3 linked regions of the Diceros bicornis minor genome follow. The protein of the gene in region 3 interacts with the protein of the main gene of each other region in a pairwise test. Links are inferred from orthologs where the notes say so. Each region holds a gene or a part of one and is shown on either strand. Other genes may lie near its edges.

The links.
Region 1: the proteins of LEMD3 (region 3) and SMAD9 interact in binary tests that used the Homo sapiens proteins (3 or more experiments, as listed by UniProt). The link is inferred for Diceros bicornis minor from reciprocal best matches to the Homo sapiens genes LEMD3 and SMAD9.
Region 2: the proteins of LEMD3 (region 3) and SMAD1 interact in binary tests that used the Homo sapiens proteins (3 or more experiments, as listed by UniProt). The link is inferred for Diceros bicornis minor from reciprocal best matches to the Homo sapiens genes LEMD3 and SMAD1.

What each region holds. Positions count from the first base shown.
Region 1 is NC_080748.1:19,317,816-19,325,519, forward strand, and holds the start of SMAD9 (mothers against decapentaplegic homolog 9), read right to left. Parts: upstream 3,014-7,704; 5' UTR 2,918-3,013; intron 1-2,917. UniProt on the Homo sapiens protein: Transcriptional modulator activated by BMP (bone morphogenetic proteins) type 1 receptor kinase. SMAD9 is a receptor-regulated SMAD (R-SMAD).
Region 2 is NC_080750.1:34,664,177-34,671,315, forward strand, and holds the start of SMAD1 (mothers against decapentaplegic homolog 1), read left to right. Parts: upstream 1-4,131; 5' UTR 4,132-4,378; intron 4,379-5,202; exon of another isoform or gene 5,203-5,544; intron 5,545-7,139. UniProt on the Homo sapiens protein: Transcriptional modulator that plays a role in various cellular processes, including embryonic development, cell differentiation, and tissue homeostasis.
Region 3 is NC_080756.1:5,486,358-5,493,526, reverse strand, and holds the start of LEMD3 (inner nuclear membrane protein Man1), read left to right. Parts: upstream 1-4,142; 5' UTR 4,143-4,160; coding exon 4,161-5,676; intron 5,677-7,169.

The sequences.
Region 1 (7,704 bases), on a different chromosome or scaffold from region 3:
ATGCTAACAATTATCTTGAAATCTTAACAACTTTAGTTAGCACATATTTCTTAAGAGACATAATTTATAGGAATACTTATTTTAAAAGGTTAGTTTACTGCCCAGGGGTATTTATTTTTTGTTATATCCCTACTCATGACATGGACATTCACTAGGTTAACAAAAAAAATTACTAAAGCGCTCATACTGTTATAACTACTTATGAATTTACTGTTGGCTTTTTTTCCCCTTTAGAATAACTTTTCAACTCACTGGCAACTGTAACCAAGGAAATATAAATCCAACAGCCTAGAATTACAACTATTTGAAGAGATTCATGCTTTCAATGTACTGCTGCAATTACTGTTTTATTCTGGACACTTCCCTGTTTCTGAATTCCTCTCTAAATGTTAGAAGCAATACACAGAAAATCTGCACTAAGCTTCGTTAGAGCTTTAAAATTTAATGTACTATGTTCTGCATGTTAAAAAAAAACTTTATTTTCCATAACCTTTACCTTCCCTTAAATCAGAATATATTCTGTGGATAAGTATTATTTCTGACACATTAAAGCAGAATATGATGAAACTGCTGTTTTATTTATTGCAGAAAGAATGTCAGATATAAACTAGTTAGTTGCCTAAGTGCTATAGTGACTACTTATTAAACACCATCTCTCCAATTTGGCAAGGGAAATTGCACTCTCATTAATCAGAATTAAACTATTTGTAAAACTGAAATTGAATATTTTAATCACTACGAAATAATTTCTTAACAGATTTTTTTTCTCCTCCAACTGACCATGCAATCAGAAAGGATAAACAAATTTACCAGTTGCTTATTACTTATAGATATCCTTGCCAATGTTTCACTAGGCAAAAAAAAGAAAACGAAAACTCTTCTTTCTCATTCCATGTTTCCATGTCTTGGGCGATCAGAGATGCAGTGGTTGACATCTGTGAATATTTTTTGATTGCTCATTAACTTGGGATAGAAAAGATTTTAAAAAGAGAAAAGTCAAAGAGCTCATACTGAGTTTAAAAGATTGATGACAAAGACGTGAGAATTGTAAAGTACTTAGTGGTTTAACCTAAAATTTGTTTATATCTTTGATTTTCAGTAAACACTGTACTGATAAAAATGAGTTTGCTCAGATTAAGAATATGTTGACATTCTCTTAAACATAGCTTGAAACCACAGAGCTGAAGCATAAAACAACTCTGACAAAGATAGCCAGTCAAGCATAAAAATGGGAGTTGCTTGTGTCAGAAGAGATTAAGAGGCTGAAGGCTGTCTGCTAAAGACAGTTGTCTTGCCATCAATGAAGGCAATTATCATCACTAAAGGTTATTTTTCTGATATATTATTTGAAACTTCTGTCATATTTAAAATGCTCCTTATTTATAAACTATTACATCATTTTCTTATCTGCAGTGTCCTTCTTGGATAACAACAAACTTGAAATTGGTCCAAAATCTTCTTCATGGTTTCCTACAAGCATACAGAAACTCACTTAATGAACTGTCCATTTGGAGTTAGGAGAATGTGTTTGGGTTTTTCTTTTACTTCCTTTTTAAATATAGATCGCTATTTTTAACAGGTAAGCTTCCAATGGCACTCCCTCACACCGACAAGACTCCTAAAGCAGATGATATGCCTGGAATATTAACATTTCACACACCCAGAACGATGCCCCAAATACTCCGCTTAGTTACGGCCAAGGAGGTAACATTATTAAATGCCTTATGACTTTACAGTTATCCTCTATTATTCCTGCTAAACTACACTTTCAAAAGATCACCCGAGAAATCTGGCAAGCCATGGAACAGGTACCGGTAAACTGGATCCATTAAAAGCAATCCACAGTGTCCTGTGGGTGTGCATCCGACTGTGAGTGTTTACATGCAATTTTATTCCAAAACTAGATTTCCATCAGTTGTAGGTTATTTCTCAGAAGTACCAGTTCCAGCCCAGAAACAAGTCAACGGAGTTATTTCTAAACTATCATTTCAAATTTCCACTGTCAAGGGTGGGAGGAGGAAGGAATAGTAACGGGAAGACTTGTCAGCGATTAGCCATCCATAAAAATGTTTCCCCCGCGCTCCTCCTTCCGATCACAATGCTGGCGTCAGTTAGTCTCCTGTATCTGTTCCCCACCTCGCCCCCCTCCCCTCTGCGGAGAGCTGGCACCGAACGGCAGGCGAAGGAAAAGACAAACATCCCAGCTCCCAACACAATCCAAGGGCTAGCCCAGAGACACTTGAATAACCTTCCTAACTTTTTTTTTTTGCTCACTTCGCGTGCCTCAAAGGTAAGCAGAGTAAAAAGCCTATGAGATAGGAGGCCAGGGAGGCCAGCTGAGTCACAATTACTACCCCCCACCCCCATTTCTCCACTGTCCCCCCACCCAGCCCTCCCCCGGCACAGCAAATGGTTACTCAGCTCCCAGCCCGGGTCTCCACGGCGCCTGTCGTCGGTGCGCGGTGCCCAGCCCGGGGCGGAGAGCGAGCGCGCATCCCTGCCCACGCCCCGGGCCACAGCGCGCACGGCCGGCGCCCCCGCCGCGGGACAAGCATCCTCTGACAGGTCCCAGGTGCCGGCAGCCCGGGCGGGTGCGGCCGTGAGGAGGGCACGCGGCCAACTCCCCGCAGCTGTCCCCTCCGCCTTCTCGCCCACCCAGCCCACCCCAAACAGGCTCTACCAAGAAATAGAGGTATGAAAAATACAAAGAACCAAGCCACACGCCCAAGAGCCTCCAAGACTTCCCTTGCGGAAGAAAAACTTAGCCACACACGCACGCACTCGCCCAGCGCGCGCCGGAGAGGGCACCTCTTACCTGTCCCCACGATGCCACGCATCCCTCCCCCCACCCCAGGCCTGGCTCCCCCCGCCCCCGCGGTGGGTCCCGGGCCGCCCGCTCCGAGCGCCGCGCACTCACTGCCTGGCTGCGCGCGCCCAGCGGCTGCAGGGCCCGGCGGCGGCTGCGGCGGGGACCGAGACAGCGGCTGCAGCGGCGGCGGCGGCGGCGGCCCCAGCCGGCGTCAGTCAGACTGGAGCCGCGAAGCCTCATCGCCCGTATTAGTGCGCCGACCTGGAAAGCGGCCAGGAGCCCTGCTCGCGGGCCCGCCCCCGCCCGCCGCCGCGCGCCCGGGCCGCTCGGGAGCCCGCGGGGAGGGGAGCGCGGCCCGCCCGCGGCCACGTGCGCGGAAACTTGCGGCGGGGGCGCCTCGCGGCCGCGCGCCACGCGGTGGCCCCCGGCCCGGGCGGCCCGCTCGGTCTTCTTGGAGACCGCAGGCTCGCCTCGGTCCGCGACCAAGCCCGCTCGGGGGGCCGCGACGGGGAAGCTCCGGCCAGCCTGAGTCACCTCGCGTCTCTCTCTCCCCGCCACCTTGAGACTTCTCATCTCCACCTGGAGCCTCCTCATCTCCACCTGGAGCCTCAGGCCGAAGGAGGGTTCTGACCAGAACAGGAGATACAGGACCAGCAAATCGGTTTGGAAACCCCTCTGAGCCACTCCTTCCGACATGTTTCTAAGCCCTGATGGTTCCTGTTTCCTGCTGTTTGTACCTTATAAGCTTTTCAGAGTAAAGGGATCCTGACACCCATCGACAGCGCTAGAGTAACTGGTTTCCACTGGCAAAGGCAGAAGAAAACCTAATCACCCTGAGTGGTGAGTGGGGTTAAAACAGGTTATATAATTATGTGAATTGTCATATCCCTACGTGCATTTATTTGCTTCACAGCCTAGCGTATAATATATAATATTATCTAATCTAATAAAGATACAACGTTATGGGCGCTGAGCAACGTTAATATACAACCTTCTTGCTCACAGCCTGGCTGCCCAGTAGGTAGCCTGCCTTTTGAGGTCACCGTGGACTCCTACTCAGAATACGCTTAGGAAATGCCACCCACGTACTGATAGCCTTTGAGCCCCCGTCAGCCAGTAGCTCTTCATAGAAAAGGCATTTACTACAGAGGTGAAAGGTAGAATAAAGCCACACAGGACAGTATTCAGTTTGTTCCTGTGTATAGAAAAATCTCTCCCCCAAAAGGATTCCCCCTGAAATGTAAATGCAAGAATTTAACTTGACTTGAACTGCTTTTTCTAGTTCTCAAAGCGCTGCACTTTCTTCCCATGGTAGAAGCCATTTTTGGGTTATCACACTGTTGTAGTTGAGCAATGACCTTGTTTAAAACAGCATTTGCAGTAGAACCTTGAACTCGAATTTAAATCGTCTTTCTACACCTGGCCCATTTACCTCTGCTTCAGGCTAGGTGTTACCTTTGAGATTGCTCTGGGTGTGAAACACAAGGAAACATTTGGACTGCTAAAAGCTACAGATTGGGCCTGATGCACACTTTATTGCAAGTAAATTAATTAGGTCCTCAGAACTGATACCTTGTGGCTCACGTTTCTTTTAAAAAATGTTATTAAGAAAAGAAATGGCTCCGTCACTATCTCAGTTTCCTTCTCTTATGGCATTAGACAGTGCAGAGGACACAACGCAGAGCAAGAAATTATAACCTCTGCAGTGCTGGCTCATGCTTCTGGCATGGAGTCTTTTTAAGTTCACAGAAGTCTCTTGGCTCTTGGCAGGACTTGGATTTGCAGATTCTTTGAACGTGTATAGTCTACTTTTTCTGTACATTCTCATTTACATACCAAGAAATTTTGGCACCTAAAGTTAGCCTGTCACTTATACAATTGCTATCATTTATTCCTCGAACCTAGTATAGAAAGTTAATCTATTTTACCCAAGAACAATAAGATCTGGTGAGTTCCAAAAAGAAGAAAATGCCTGCTCTGGGAAAGAAGGCTCAGTGTTGACACTCCATTTTTCAGGAGCTGACTCGCCTTGTAATAGCAAATCCAGACTCTCTACTTTATTTTTTTCCTCTTGATTTCTTGATTGGCTGCAATTTTACTGCTTGTTAGAACTTCCACGAAAAAACTACGTAATGAGAATCATATGAGGGGTGAGATTCAGTCACAGGTTGTGATTTGGTGGAACCTCTAGTAAAATTTTGATTCAAGACCTGAAAACCACTGTGAAACTAAGCTTCCCCTTTTCTGAATTACAAGGACTTGGTGCAACATGAGCTCCTACAGGCTGTAAAACAGCAGTAGGAAGGGCAGCTTCCTTACCCACGAGAGGCTCAGTTCTTTTCACTTGTCATATGTCCAGCATGGGACAAGATTGTGACAAAGTCTGTAGTAATCCGTAGATGCAAAGATTCAGCTTTGTACATCTCTTGTACCTTATGTTTGATCTAGCATTATAATGGTTCCACGCAGAGCCACAACTAGGAATTGTTGCCTGCACACCCCTCCCGATGCTAGTCTTCTGCATTTCATCTGTAACTCTGTCCTAGCTCTGCATTTTTCTGCCTCCCCCGTGAGCTTTCCTTCAAGAGCCATTATTCATTCTATGACCATTATTGAACACTTTCCTGAGTACCAGGTTCTGGACACGGAACACTGGCCCTCAGTAAACTTAGTCTCTCTAGGAGAGGCGCACACACCAACGATTATCGTACAGCTTTATGTGTCACTTCAGGGTGTGGGCACAGGGGAGGTGTCAGGGAGGTCTCCACAGAGGGGAAATTTCAGCTACACCTTGAGAAGTGAGTATGAATGCCTACTGCCTCAATAGCCAAAGAAGCCCCCCACCCCGCCCCGCCAGTCTCGATGGATGCAGCTCTGTGAGTACTGGTTTCGCAGTACAGTGCAGCCTGGATGTCAGCCCCCAGGCGAGGCACTCTGAATCAGACACAACTTGCACAATTGTAAAGGCAGCCCAGAATGCCTACTATGTGCAGAGTTCCTTGAGGTTTTGAGTATGAACACCTCACTGTTCCTAAGAGAACTGTCCAACTAATTGGGTAAATAAGAAAAATAATGTTACGAGGCAGGACATCACTGAATAAATGCTCTGGGGTTGCGACAGGGAGTGATAGAGCATCTTGGTTTGGTGAAGAGTGACAGCTATCTCCTGTTGTGAGATTCTCCCTACCAGGACTGTGGAGGGGAAAAAATAAGAAAAACTCACCCTCATCCACAATTATTCCCCAAATCTCTATTTATTTACTGTTTTTTTCCCTCATGGCATCACTACATTAACTTATATAAACCATTCATTTGTTTGTTTTGACTGTCTCTCTATACAAATGCTCATTTTGCCACTACTGTATCCCCATAGCCTGGAACGATGCCTGGCACATGTAGATGCCCAATAAATATTTGTTGAATGAATGAAATGTTTAGTATGTAGTTAAAAATATCAGGGAGGTGATCAGAGGAGAGATGTAGATTTGGAATGTATCTGTAGAGGTGACAGCAGAAGCCATGAGAATGAATGAGATCCTTGATGAAGAAATTATGGACAAAGAACAGAGGAGTGAGATCACACTGATTCAGGAAGGGGAAGGAAGAAGTGGAGCCTTAAAGAAAGACCAAGGAGTGGTCCCAGAGGTAAAAAGATAACTCACAATTCTATTGCTTATCTTGCCTCTCCCCTCACAAGCTCACCTTACTGTGTAACCGGGATTGCAAACAATACCAGCTTGGACCAGCCTGGAACTGTCAATATAAAGTTGGCCAGGTGAGATAGAATAAGGAGGAGTGGGGACTGGAGAGCACATTCCCTTCTGAAGGGAACTCCTGGTACGCAGCTCCAGCCAGTTGTTGCCGTGTGAGAATGGGGACGTAATTTCAAGGGGTAACAGATATCCAGAATTTTATGGAAAAATCTTATAATTAAAAAATTTTGCTAACTAACCCAATTTGTTTTTTAAAGACACAAGCCAAAGAAAACATATTTGAGCCAAATTTGAGTGGCAATTTGCAACCTCTGAATTGTGCCCTCTAGTCCATTTCAGCATCTCTCTTTTTTCTGTAACATAGAGACAATAACTCAGGTCATTACTTCAATCAAGTCGGAGCTTATTTAACTTGGGTGAACAAAATTCTCCCCCCAGTCCATACGGTATTTGTCCTTTACTCCACTGTCAAACTTCACAATGCATGGTTGATATTTGTCTCCTCTTCCTTACTACCCACCCCTTCCTAATTTCCCCAAGTCTGGCTTCTGCCTTCCATCTGCACTATTTGATTTCAGTGCTATTCCAACGTTCTTAGAGGTCACCAGTAACCCTTCAATGAATAATTCAGTGAGCTTTCTTAATCCTCATTTAAAAAAAAATTTGAAATACATCTTTATTATTTTAGTTAAATTCCATCTCCTAGTTATCATGAATAATGCTGCAATGAAGATGAGTGTGCAAATATCTCTTTGAGATCCTGCTTTGAATTCTTTTGGACTTATACCCAGAAGTGGACTGCTGGATCATATGGTACTTGTATTTTTAATTTTTTGAGGAACCTCCATATTGTTTTCCTTATGGCTGCACCATTTTACATTCCCACCAACAGTGCACAAGGGTTCCAGTTTCTCTGCGTCGTCGCCAACATTTGTTATTTTCTGTTCTTTCGATAGAGATCATCCTAATGGGTGTGAGCTGATATCTCATTGTGATTTTCATTTCCATTGCTCTCACTATTAGTGACATTGACTATCTTTTCATATGCTTGTTAGCCATTTGTATATCTTCTTTGGAGAATTGTTTATTCAAGTCCTTTGCCCATTTTTTTAATCAGGTTATTTGTTTTTGTTGTTGTTGAGTTGTTATAGGAGTTCCTTATCTATTCTAGATATTAACCCT
Region 2 (7,139 bases), on a different chromosome or scaffold from region 3:
TTTCCATTGATTAGAACCATCTCTCAAAATAAATTTTGGGGTTCACATTTTGAACCTATAAAATTTGCAGCCAATTTTAAGGGTTCTCCTTATTGTAAATGATTAGTAGTTGATTTTTTTGACAAATGGTTAATTTGTCAAATTAATTTGAAGCGTAATTAATTTGCCTTCGGTTCCTTGATACCTTCTTTTCTCTGAGAATCTTGTCCTCCTCCCTACCTCAGCCATCCACTTTATCTGGTCACACTGCTAGATCTTGGCATTATGCAAAATTGTCCCAGTTCCATGATTTCAATTTCAAGCGTCCTGTTCTCAGACCGTTCCCCAGCTTTTGGGAGGGGTTCCCAACTGAAGCAGTTCTTGGATCCCACTGGGACCTTCTATCCATCCATCTTATCACCTTTCCATCACCCCCCACTTCTTTATGTCCTCACCTTCCTCCTTATCCCAGTCCCCCCACAGTCACTCCCTTGCCTACACCCTCTGCTCTCTGACCCTCTTTCCTTCCATCACACCCACTTGCAAAACCCCAGCTCTGCCCCCTTAGGCTGACCGAGGCTAGAGAAAAATCCACAGCCGTGCTGACCGGTCTTGCTTTAAATTCATAACCACTAACCTCAAATGGGCACGTAATAGCACTGCCTGGCTATCCTACTACATTTCCGTAGCTCATGTGCTCTCAAACTCTCCCAGAAGATAACTGTTTGATATCCACTCCTTTCTCTTCCAACCTGCAACGTCTCTTCTACACTCACCATTCTCAGGAAGTAGGGTCCGTGGCTATTTCATCAAGCTAACAGAAGCAGAGAGAAGACAATGTCCCTCTGTTCCCACCTCTGCAGCCACCAGCCTGTGCGCACCTGGACCCACACACTGCCTTCCCTCCTGCAGTCGGCTCCTCCCTGCGTCAGTGCACTGGCCTTCTGGTTCTTCTGTGAATGGGTGAAGACGACTCAACTTCAAGGTCCTTGCACTTGTTCTTCCCTCTGCTTGGGAGGTTGGAAATCCTCCCCTGATCATGTAGCATGCTCTCTGTCTTCATTCAGGATCTCTTCTCAGTGACGTTTTCCCTACCCCTATAGAAATAGCAGCCTCTCCCATTCGCAATCCCTCTTACTTTGCTGTTTCCATCCCGTGTACACCACCTAGCATACTTGTGTATTTATTCATTATTCGTCTTCCTTGATGAGAGTGGGGACTTTTATCTGTTTTGTTTGCCACCATATCCCCTGTGACTTGAACAGTGTTTGATTCATTCATTCACTCATTCATTCATTCAACAGGTGTTTAGTGAGCTATTAGGTGCCAGACACTGCTCTAGGCACTGAGAGGTTAGCAATGAACAGAACAGACCTACACTTTTGGCTAAGTAGAAAAAGAATAATAGAACAGAATAATAGAATTAATAGAAATAATAAAATAATAATAGAAATAATAGAAAATATAAAAATCCTGCACTTTTGGCTAAGTAGTTAGGTAGTGATAAGTGAAACATCCATACAACACAGGGGAAGGAAGAGGATATAAAAAGTATGTGTTTGGGAGTGGTATGGGCGGGGGGATGTTAGATTTTAGGTAGAGTGGCCAGGGTAGGCCTCATCCAGAGGGGAACCCTTGAGGGAAGACCTGAGGGAGGTTAGGCAGAGGGCCATGTGCACATCTTGGGAAAGGCTTTCCAGGGAGGAACAGCTGGTGCAGAGGTCCTGAAGTGAGAGTATGCCCAGGTTGTTCCAGGATTTGTGAGGAGGCCAGGGTGACTTAAGGAAGTGAGCAAGAGAGAGAGTAGGTCAGAGTGGTAACGGAGGGCAGGGAGGAAGGATCGTGTAGACTCTTGTCCACATTGTGAGAACTTTTATTTTGAGTGAAATGGGAAGTCAAGGGAAAAATTTTTTTTGATATAATGATAATAATATACAACCCAGGGCCGGCCCAGTGGCTTAGCGGTTAAGTGAGCGTGCTCCGCTTTGGTGGCCCGGGTTCAGATCCTGGGCGCGCACCGACGCACCGCTTCTCCAGCCATGCTGAGGCTGCGTCCCATATACAGCAACTAGAAGGCTGTGCAACTACGACATACAACTACATACTGGGCATTGGGGGAAAAAAACAGAAGGAGGATTGGCAATAGATGTTAGCCCAGAGCCGGTCTTCCTCAGCAAAAATAGGAGGATTAGCATGGATGTTAGCTCAGGGCTGATCCTCCTCACAAAAGAAAAAAAAAAAATACAACCCACATTCCAGTTTTCACAATTGTCCCAATAATGTCCTCTTTTAAAAAGTCCAATTTTTTTTATTACTATTTAAAGAAATAATTTGCACAAGGGGCAAAAATCAAATTTCATAGCTTGCATAGTATTAATAATGATCATTTGTAGCTACGAGGACTGCACTAAGAAAGGTCACCTATAGGTTAAAAAAATTAACAGTTTTATAATGTCATTTTATAGCTTTTCCACTCAATCCTGGATCCAATCAAGGATAGTACACTACTTTTAGTTGTCATACCTTTTTTTAACAGCTTTATTGAAATAAAATTCACAGACCATATATTCACCCATTTAAAGTGTACGATTCAATGGCTTTTAGTATATCCACAGAGTCGTGCAACAATCACCACAAACTAATTTCAGAACATTTTCGTCACCCCAAAAAAGAAACCCCATAACCTTTAGCTATCCCCCTAACCTCCCCATTCTCCCAAACATAGGTAACCACCATTCTACTTTCTATCTCTACAGATTTGCCTATTCTGGATATTTTATATAAATGGAAGCATACAATTTGTGGTCTTTTGTGTCTGGCTTCTTTCTCTAAGCATTATGATTTCAAGGTTCATCCATGTAGCATGTGTCAGTACTTCTTTTCTTTTTATGACTGAATGATGTTCCCTTGTATGGATAGAGCACATTCCACTTACCAAGGGAAGGTTTTGAGCAGAAGAATGACCTGATCTGAGTGGCATTTAACAAGGCTTACTCCAGCTGTCGGGAGCAGAGAATGATGAACTGTGTCAATGCTGCTTTTAGGGAAAATAAGATGAGGCTCAACAATTGACCAGGAAGTGCTCAAATAGCTTAACAAAGAAATTAACAGAAATACTCTGATCTATAATTGGTATTTCATGTGTTTTATGGGATTTGTTGCATTTCCTTTGAATAATTAAACATGGAATGCAGAAATAAAATAATTAATAAACAAGAATTTAAATGGAATGTGGACATGTAAACATACAGGAACAATTGGAGAGTACCATTAGTTTACAGAGGTCTTTGATGTTTTCTTTATATTAGTGGTAATGATTCTTTTGGTTCATGTGAAATTTACTCCTCAGAATAATTATTTGTCTCTAAACATAACTCAACATTATGGTAATTATCCAAGATTTCATGCCAGGTTCCAGGGAGCTGGCCAGGAGAAAATGTAATTCTTACAAAAATATATTTTCACCGTCTATGCAGATCAGGTAGAGAAGAGCTAGTCTGTTTTTAATTTGAGGGGTTGGTGTCATCTAAAAGATTGCAGAAATTGGATAAGAAATTTAGAGTTCTATTGTGGCATCTGTCATTATTTTGAGCAACGAAGTTACCTACTCGACTCAGATCCCAAATTGGCGCACAACCCATGTATTGATTCAGGGTTTGGTATAAGCACATGCAATAGTTACTAGCTATTCAATTCTGGGTACGTGCAACTTCTGGGGCTTGCAAATCACTGGGGAGTGAGTGAGGGGCAATGAAAACGAGACATAAAAAGGCGAGGCTCGAAAGACAATTGTCAAAAATGCGCTCCACGTTTGTAGTACGGTTCGGTGGGCGCGGTGGACGTGCTGATGAACATTCCAGATAATAAACACTGAGCACAGAACTTCCCTCGCAGATAATGCACCAAGTCCGCTCCACCGGGACTAAAGGAGGCAGGGGGAGGAAAGTCGGAACGCGCGGAGTTGTTTTTGCTCGTTGGAATAAATTGGGCGTGGGGCTGGGGGCGGGGGAGGTGGCTCGGGCCGCTCGCCCGCGCCGTCCTCAGGCCCCGCTGCGCTGGCCGGGCCGGGAATTTGGAGAGGATCCCTGGTCGCGCGGCGGCGGCGGCGCGCGGGTGCGCGTGTGAGCGGGCGGGCGGGCGAGTGCGCCGGGTATTGGCAGCCGAGGAGTGGAGGCTGGGCGGCTCCGACTCCCTGACGCCAGCGCGACCAGATCAATCCAGGCTCCGGGAGCGAGCGGGCGGAGGAAGGAGAGGCCGAGCGGCTCAGCGCGGGCCGAGGCGCAGGGAGGGACCCTGCGAGCGCAGCGCGGCGCAGCGCCCGGCGGGCCAGCCCGGGGCCGCGGGACCCCGCTCGCCCCGCCACTCGTGCCCCTGCGCGGACGGGCGCGCCGCCAACCCGGTAAAACGAAACAGACCCGAAACCAACTTTCCTTCTGCCGCGTCCCCGCCCTCCCCTCGGCTCCCCCGGCTTCCCAGCGCCGCCGCCTCCGCTGCGGCGGGCGCGGGCCCGCAGGGCTGCCGCGGCCGTGCGGCGCCGGGGGCGCGGGCTGCGGCCGGGAGGGTGCTCTTCCCCGTGCGGGGCGGACCGGGACCCCCCCCCCCATGATGGCGCCTCCGGCCGCTCGGATGAGCGAACCTGCCACCTTCTCCACCCCTCGCGCCCAGCCCGCCCGGCAGGGCTCGGCCGGGGTTCCCCGCGCGTCTTTGTTGGGTCTGCGGTGGGGAAGCCGCGTTCCTCGGCCCCGGCCCTGCCCGCGGCGGGACCTCCCGGGTCCCCTCCCCCTCCGCCCGCGCCCCGTTTCTCTTTCCGTTTCTGCAGCCGGCCCGAGGCCCGTCCGCGCGGCCCGCGGGCCCATTGTGTCCCGCGCCGGCCCGGGCCACTCTTGCGGGCGCCGGAGGGCGGCTGTCGGCGCGGCTCGGGACGCGCTCGGCGCCGCGCGGAGCGGGTCCCGCACGAGCGGGACACCTGGTGCCCTGGGCCCCTCCGCGTCCCCGACGGGTCCCCTTCTCTGCCCCAACGAGCCTCTTGGGGGTGGAGGTCAAGGAGAGTTCGCACTGAAATTCCCTCTAATTTATTCAAAGGTTTGGCGGCGGCGGCGGGTAATTTTTTTTTTTTTTCCCCTCTTCCGCCTACACCCCCCTCCGTCTCCAAGTGTCGTCTCATTCCTTTCCCTTGACCGGATTCGATTGCCTCACTGCATGTGCATTTGTGAGCTCGCGGTTGAACAAGTGTTCCTTGACTCGGCTCCCTGTCTTTGTTAGTGTTTCTCGGGGTTGTTTCTGTAGGGAGGTGGGGGTGGTGGGTGTGAGCGAGACAGACGTGGGCTTGTTTTTCTGGTTGCTTGATATATATGAAGGCTTCCTGGGAAAGCGTTTCCTTGATGGACTTTAGGAGGGAGGAGGAACAAATGCCTGCCGGATCGTACAACTACAGTAGCCGCGGCTTTTGTTTATTTTGAGGCGCAGACGATTTTTAAATACACGGTGCAAGATAACCAGTAAGGCGCTTCCCTTCTGAAAATCGAGGCGCATCTCAGAACCATCTCCTGAGAAAGCATCGTTTTCGTGAGTGCTGTGACAACGAGCCTTTTTCTTTCCCCATATGTCCTCCTCTTTCCATTGTATCTGAAGTTTCAACGTCTGTGAAATGATACAGAAGTTGCATGATTTCTGTATGTCTTCCTCTTGCTGAAACTTAGCAGCTAAATCACAGAATGCCTTAATTTCAGAACATTTCTCGCTCTAATTGCCTGTCGTGGAGAGCATGCCTGCGTTCAGAAACACAATGAGAAAACTGTTCTCTGCCTGTGTTGATTTTTCATCTTGTTCATAATTACCACTTTACGTTTTATTGGAGGTAGGTGAGGTGTGTTGGAACCACTGTTTAAAAAGAATGGAGGCAGAATCACTGTTCACTGCCCCAGCGTTTTCAATTAGTGTAAATATTTTGCATCATTGTTATTCTGAGGTAGGTGCCAGGCCTAAATATGCTGTACTGATTAAAGTACTTTTCCTCCCCCCTCCCTTCCACCCTCTTTTCCATTTGCAGTTATTTGATATTTCTGTGCAGGTGGTGCACATTTGTGTAATATTGCAATTCTTAGGAAACTGTAACCAGGGTCGTGAGAGATGATTTTTCTAGAGGTGGGTGATGCCAGAGCCTCTGGAGGATCCAGGCAGGATCAGGTTTCTTCTGAGGGTAGGGATTTGTCCTTCATTTAGTTCTGACTCCTCCAACCATAGGTATGTAACTAAATACATTTTTCCTTTTTGCAGTATCCTTTGGTTTTATACCCTTGATGAGCTGATGACCTTTGCATTTTAGAGAAATGACAATTTTCAGGCAATTAAAAATGTTAACCTCTTACACCTCTTGGAATTTAATTAATTTTTGCTACCTAAGTTCATTAAAGCATTAAAAGGAAGTAAGTCTCATTTTCCCAAATACATCTATTAGTTAAAAACTAAATTTCAGTTTGTAATTTTGATTTCTAGTAATCCTGGGTTAAAGGTAAAATTTAATAACAGATTGTAAAAAGAATAAACTTGAGTGTAATTAGACGAGTATATTTTAGCTGCAGTCGCCTACACAATCAAGGCCAAGTTGTGTGTGTATAAAAGATCTCATTTGTATAGTCTTACAAGGCTAATGGAGGCATCATTGGGGTTTATAAATAATGTAAGTTGTGTATAATGTAGAGTCTCCAGAGACGGCAGAGAAAGCATCATTACCAGCCTTTTCAACCTGCTTGAGATCTTAAATTGATTTACGGCACTGAACTGGTGCAAAATGATACATCAGGATGACATGGGGTCAGCCTGTAAAAGTCTATGATGTCAGCCTATTAGTTCAGTCATCATAATTAAACCATATTACAGGGGCAGCTAAGCAGGAGTCTGGCGTTATACTTCAGATATGGGTGGTACATAGTTTTTGTTTATAGTGGAAAAGCTGAACTCGCTGGGAATGATAGTGTTTCTAAAAGAGGAGAAGGCTTACAGAACTCTGAATTTTTCAAAAAAAATTGAAGATAAACTCAGAGATGTTCAGTCTGCATTGTCTAAATAGCTTTCCATTTGGTAGTGGAGAAACAGATGCTCTGGGGGTGCTGATAAGGACCTTTGCAGCTCTGATGCGTGTCCTGAACCATGCTTCATGT
Region 3 (7,169 bases):
AACCTTGGTTTCTTTATCTGTAAAACACAAAAACTAATAAAACCCACCCCTTGGATTGTCAGAAGAATTATATGGTATTCCCAAAATAATTAAAAGGCAGCTAAAAAGACGTATATCATATTAGGAAGATAAAATAAAATTAAAATCATTTTAAAAAATGAGGCACATGAATATAAAGTTAGAAAATTTAGATGGAGTCAGCAATGAGATTAATTTATAAAATATATGCTATGGAGCTAAACACTTGCTATGGCTAGGCCACAAATTTGAGTCTGAACTTCCTAGCTGTCTCCTCAAAGAGGGAAACATGGCAAGTCACCAAACCAACAGTGCCATCCATAAGGTTAAAAACAAATTAGTAGTTTGGTGACTCCTCAAAAAGTTAAACACAGAATTACCATATAATCTGAAATTCATAGGTACATACCCCAAATAATTGAAAACAAGTATTCAAACAGATACTTGTACACCAATGTTCACAGCAGCATTAGTCACAACAACCAAAAGGTAGAAACACCCAAAATATCTATCAACAGATGAAGAGATAAACAAAATGTGGTATAACTATGCAATGAAGCGTTATTCAGCCATAAAAAGAAATGAAATACTAATACATTCTACATTATGGATGAACCTCAGAAACATTATGCTAAGTGAAAGGAGTCAGACACAAAAGGTCACATACCGTATGATTCCGTTTATATGAAATATCCAGAATAGTTAAATCCATGGAGACAGAAAGTAGATTAGTGGTTTCCAGGGGCTGGAGAGAGGGAGAAATAGGGAATGTCTGCTTAATGGGTACAGAGTCTCCTTTTGGAGTGATGAAAATGTTTTAGAACTAGATAGAGGTGATGGTTGCACAATATTGTAAATATACTAAATGCTACTAATTGTACACTTTTAAATGGTTAATTTTATGTTATGTGAATTTCATCTCAATAAAAAATAAAACAAAGCAAAACCAAAGCAAAACCAAAACAAATGAGTTGTCTGGAAAAGTGCAACTATTTCTAATAGTGAGACCAGAAAGGACATTTTTTAAGGGAAAGAACCCTCAGCAAAATTTTTATTTGAACATAATGTTGGGTTTCATATCATTCTTTAGAAGGTCCTTCAATACGAGCTGGTGTCATCACTATGAAGGGTAATATGGTGAAAGGTATTTTACTGGGAACTGGGGGAAGTACAGGGTTAGGAATGTGGCCCAAGGTACACTGGTCTCTGATGAGCAGGCTTAAGGCAGAGATGAAATTAAAAACATCTAGAGGAAGAGATGAACCGCCTATCCTTCTAAAATCCATAGTAAATGTTTCCCTTAGTCAAATGTTTGGAAGCTCTAGAGCAGGAGTCAGTTTGGGATTGCATTCCCTCTCAAGCATTTGGGTGCAGTTTGCCAATCTAGAGCCTCATGCTTTCAAGTTAGCCAATCTGGAAGCAGGAATAAGATCCATTGGTAATGAGGAGAATGCTGGGAGTGAGCAGTGACAGAGCTGAGACAGTGAAGGTTCTCCTGAGGAAGTGCTGGGTCTGCTCAAACACCCAAACAAGGGTCATTACAACCCCACACAGTTCCATGCAATAAATCACACCCTCAATATCTTCAAGGAGGAAGAGTTTCTTATAGACAACAGGAGGCCATTTATATAAAAGCTCTTTGTAAAGTGTAAATTTTATATCAATTGTAGTTTTCATTGTTATTAATATCTGGCTATAATACCTAACATGTAAACAACAGATGTGAACAGCATTTTCACATACCAAATTCATTTATCATTCTCAACAAATACTTATTGGATATTAATTGTGTGCCAAGGAGGGTAGACAATATTATCAACATTTTAGAAAAGAATAAGTTAAGGTTTTGAGAGCCTAAGATTTGCCCTAAGTCATATGACTTGGAGACTCAAGAACTTTAGTTCCTAGGTCATTCCAAACCTTGCTGCCCCCAAGAGCTGAAATGACCAAGGACTAAGGTGGCCAAGCCCTTCATCTTCATTAACTATTAAATGTGATTATTGAATGCCTTGGGCAAAGTTTTACCACTTCCATATCTTTCTGTACAGGGGTATTTTCTTGAACTGCTCTTACATGGAGTTCTCAGGAGCCACGCTACCAAGCACACACAATGCTCGGCTTTACACTACTGGCCCACATTTAGTGAGTGCACATTGTGTGTTAGGCATGGTGCTAAGCATTATGCAGACATATTCTCATTTAACCCTTAAAATAGCCTGCTGAGGAAGGTTTATCATCCCTCTTTTGTTTATACAGAAACTAAGGCTCAGAAAGAGTAAACACCTTGCCCAAAGTCACAGGCAGAAAGACAAATGGTCTGACAATCCTTATAGGAAGATATTTAAAGGTTCATGAAAATCAGAGGCTGAACCAATAGACTTCTATGATTCCTACCTGAAGAACCAGTAGGGTGTGGAACAAATATTGAACTAAGAGTAAATGTAAGAGACAGGGCTGGGTCCACATCCAGTTTTGTTTAACTCCAAAGCTCACAGCTTAACCACCCTGCTATACTAAGACACAGGTCCAGTAAGTTTGTAATCATTTGATTTCCCACCCAGAAAATTATGGTAATAAATTCTGTGTCATTATCATCATAGTGGCTAAAATGGACTGTGCCAAACAGTCTTAAGTGCTTAACAGTCATAGATTCAGGAACATCTGTAGATTTTAAAGTCTCCTGATAAGGACAAGGAAGTGACCCTCCACATAAAAGTTTTTTTGAGATGGCAAGCTTTTGCTACGAGAAGTCGAAAATTCAAGTTACTGAGTATTACTGTGCTGTTGGACTCAGGATGTTGAAAAGCTGGTATCTATGCTTCTGATTAACATTTGTTTTGGTTCAGATGTGTAAAATGCAATAGGGTAAAACAATTCATTCGACAAAAAATTATTATAATGTGCCAGATATCATGCTAGGTGCCACCGTGTAGCTGCTACGGTTTAAGTACTGAAGAAGTGTCAGCTCTGCCAGGGGTTGAGGAAAAGGGAAGCCACCTTTACCAAATTGGGCAAGTTTCACCTCTCTGGGATTCATTTCCTATTCTGTAAAGGAGGGGGTTGGCTATCCAGGTCTCAAATGTCTCCGGTTTTTTGACTTTGTGTGAAGGCTTCTCCTCCTCCTCTGCACTATTCCCATGTCAAAATATTCAACTCATACCATCCTAGCTCTGCAATTCATTGCAATGTGGGAGTGAAGTAGGGAATAACAGAAGCAAGGCTCCTCTGCTCAGGGAGCGGACAGTTCAAAGGAATAAGACAATAAATAATTAAGTAAATATTATCATTTAAAAAATACATAAAAAGTCATTAACAATTAATAATTAAATAAATAACTGTAGGTTGGAAAGGTGCTAAGAAGGAAATAAGTAGCATGGCTTGTCTTTTTTTCATAGAACGAAGCAAATGAGAAGGCTCTTTCAATTACAAGAATGACAACCTATCGAGGTCATCAGATTTAAAAAAGGGAAAAAATGATCATACCTTACAACCAACTAAAGAATGACTAGCCATTCCTCTTGAAGAAAACTGTGTTGGGACTGGTGTATCTACTCCGTCTCTTTCTCTTGGAATGGAAGTGGAGAGGCTTCTCAAAAAGAGCAGCGAGAGAAACTCACTTTTTTTTGTTTGTAAGTCAAGCGGAAAGACAACGTGAAAAGAGAGAACCAGGAGTCAGCCAGGGATTGCCAATCTAGTCTGGCCCTCAGGGTTTCTTTGAGTCTCTCCGGGCTCCCTCGGCAGCGGGAATCTGGATGGAAAGAAAGCGAATGCCGTGAACTTCAAGGCAGATTTCCTTTCAGTGCCCGGTGGCAGGAGGCCGGGAAGAAGAGGTCAAGGTGTGGTTTAGCGAGAGGCAGCTCGGGGGGAAGGCGCAGGGCAGGACAGGGCAGCGCAGAGACCGCAGCAGACGGCGACAGCACGGAGGGGGCACGCGCCGGCCCCAGGTGAGCGCGCAGACCGCCGCCCGGCCGCGGGCGCCGCGCGCCGCTCAGGTGGCGCTTCCCGCTCAGGTGAGCTCCTCCCGCCCTCCCATTGGCCGAGGCGCCGGGCGCCGGGAGGGCGACGCAGCCGGTCTAGTTCAGGGTCTAGGGCGGCGCGTCACTTCCGGGAGCGCGGAGCTTGTAAAACACCCTGGAGAGAAAATGGCGGCGGCAGCGGCTTCGGCGCCTCAGCAGCTCTCGGATGAGGAGCTTTTCTCGCAGCTCCGCCGTTACGGCCTGTCTCCGGGCCCCGTGACGGAGAGCACGCGCCCGGTCTACCTCAAGAAGCTGAAGAAGCTTCGCGAGGAGGAGCAGCAGCAGCACCGGCCCGGGGGCCGCGGCAGCAAGACGCGGAACAGCAATAACAATAACACGGCCGCCGCCACGGGCGCCGCCGCGGGACCGGCGGGGGCGGCGGGGCTGGGGGGCCGGCCGGGGGCGGGCGACCTCTCCTACCTGCGGACTGCGGGCGGCCTGGGCCGGGCCGCGGCCTCGGGCCCCGAGAGCCCCCTGGGAGGGGGAGGGCCCGGGGCCGCCGCGGCCGCCCCCACGGCCGGCAGCAAAGTGCTGCTGGGCTTCAGCTCGGACGAGTCGGACGCCGAGGCCAGTCCCCGGGACCAGGCCGGCGGCGGCGGCGGCAGGCGAGACCGGGCTGCGCTCCAGCCGCGCGCGCTCCGGCCGCCGGCGGCGCCGCTGGCCGCCAGCGAGGGGACCAGCAGCAGCCCGGCTGAGCGCAGGAAGCCCCACTCGTGGTGGGGGGCGCGGAGGCCGGCGGCGCCCGAGACCCCGGCGGGGCGGGACGGGGCCGCGGAGGGCGAGGGCGGGGAGGGCGAGGACGGCGGGGACCGGGACGCCGAGGCCGAGCAGCCGCCGTGGGCGAGCCGCGCCGTGAACGGCAGCCGGCTTCTCCCCTACAGCTGCCGGGAGAACTACTCGGACTCGGAGGAGGAGGACGACGACGACGTGGCCGCGGCCAGGCAGGTGCTGAAGGACGACTCCCTGTCCCGGCCCCGGCCCCGACGGAGCCACGGCAAGCCTCTGTCCCCGCCGCCGGCCAGAGCCGCCGGCGGCCGCGCGGAGCCCTCCGCTCCGGGAGGGGGAGGAATCGCGATGAATGACAGGGCGGCGGCCGCCGGCGGTCTAGACAGGGGCCGGAGCCTCGAGGAGGCGGCGGCGGAGCAGGGAGGAGGGTGTGATCCGCTGGACGCCAGCCCCGTTCCTCGATTCCGTGTCAACGCCAAGAAGCTGGCCCCTCTCCTGCCCCCGCCGCTGGCGGACGTGGACTCCACCTTGGATTCCTCCACGGGCTCCCTGCTCAAAACCAATAATCATATCGGCGGGGGGGCCTTCGGCGTGGACTCCCCCAGGATTTTTTCCAACAGCCTCCCTCCCAGTGCGGCGGCGGCCGCCCCGAGTTCACTCAGGATCAATCACTCCAATCACACGGGCTCGAATCACACCTACCTGAAAAACACCTACAGCAAACCGAAGCTGTCCGAACCCGAGGAGGAACTTCTCCAGCAATTTAAACGCGAGGAGGTGTCCCCGACGGGGGGTTTCAGTGCCCACTACTTGTCGATGTTTCTCTTGACTGCTGCCTGCTTGTTCTTTCTAATACTGGGACTGACTTACCTAGGAATGAGAGGGACAGGAGCATCCGAGGATGGAGGACTCAGCAGTAAGTATTAACCCCCGGGTAAGGTAACAAAGGGCGGGGTGCGAGGGGTCCTCTCTAAGCGCACTTGGCATTTTACATGCGGTGACTTCTGTCTGCAGGGACCTGTGAGAATAGTGAAACGCAACAGATGGAGTGTATTTGGGTCATCTTTCCTTAAGAAAGAACATTATTACCATTGTCAGAAGGACGATCCCATGGCTGGTTTTTAAAGTTTTTCTGTATGATGTATTGGGAAATTGAAAACATCTTGTAAAGGAACAAAGTATTACAAGCCTGTTAGTAAAATGCATTTATGTGTGTGACTTAAAGTTTCTTTTAGCCTTAAATAACTAGATGTGCAGATGCCAATTAACAGTTTCGAAATACTTTGATTGTTAAGGGGCAACATAAATGCAGTGTTTTTTCAAATTGACTTGTGACACTAAAAGGAAATGTAAGATCTCTTGAAATTTTGGTTAAATATTTTGTAGTGTTAAGTGTACATGTAGGTAGTTCTGTAATTTCTTTAAAGTGAATGAATATAGAAAGGAAGGCACACCTCTAAATTGATTTCCCAGCCCAAAGCACCTCACCTCCCACCAGTGAAACAAGTAGTGGTTGGGCAGTGCAGCAGTTTGCAGTCAGATTTATCTGAATTGGTTTCCAGGCCCTGCCATTGACTTGCTAGAGGGCTCTAGGCAGGTGTGTTCATTCATTCATTAAGGCAGCAGCATTTATGCTGAGCATACAGCAGTGATGGCTCAGAGTCTCTCTGTCCTTCAGCACAAGAGGAAGATGAATACAGATCATTTTGTGTTCTGTGAAGGAAGCAAGGATGGAGTGATTGGTGTATACTGCTTTAGAGATGCTAAGAGTAGGTACTGTTTGAGATGAGAACTGCAGCAGAAGGAGACAGCCTTGTAGCGAGACAGGAGAGCATTCTGGGCAGAGATTATAAGAAGAAAGGCCTTCAGTTGAGCAGGAGTCTTGCTGTGGGTTAGAGTGGTTAGAGCACCATGAGCGGGGGGGGGGGTGGGGGGGGGTGGGGGTGGTGAGCGAGAGTTTGAGCTTCCCTTTCCTCATCTGTAAAATGATGCTGATATTGATCAGAGTGATGCCTGTCAAGATTAAAGAGAGAAAGTAAATTTAGTGGGTGATGGACTGCTGAACACATAACTTCTCAATATGTCCCTCTCCCCACTTGCCCTGAAACTTCCTACCTTTTTCACCCAACGTGAATTCACTGTGTCATTTGTATTTGTAAAATTGGCTTACTGTTATTAATTTTATTTCAAAATAGCTAATGATGCAGTTAGCAGACTTAGCTAAAGAGTAGGAGTCAAAATAGTGTAAGCTTTGATTTGGATATAACCAATTCTAAGATAGTCAAATAATAGATTATTACTGTATTGCTTAATTAGAGGGGTTAAAGAGGACTGAAATCCAGCACTCACTTTAATTGGTACCCTGGGAGCAAGAGTGATATGTTGTGTCCTGCTCCAAATATTTGGGAG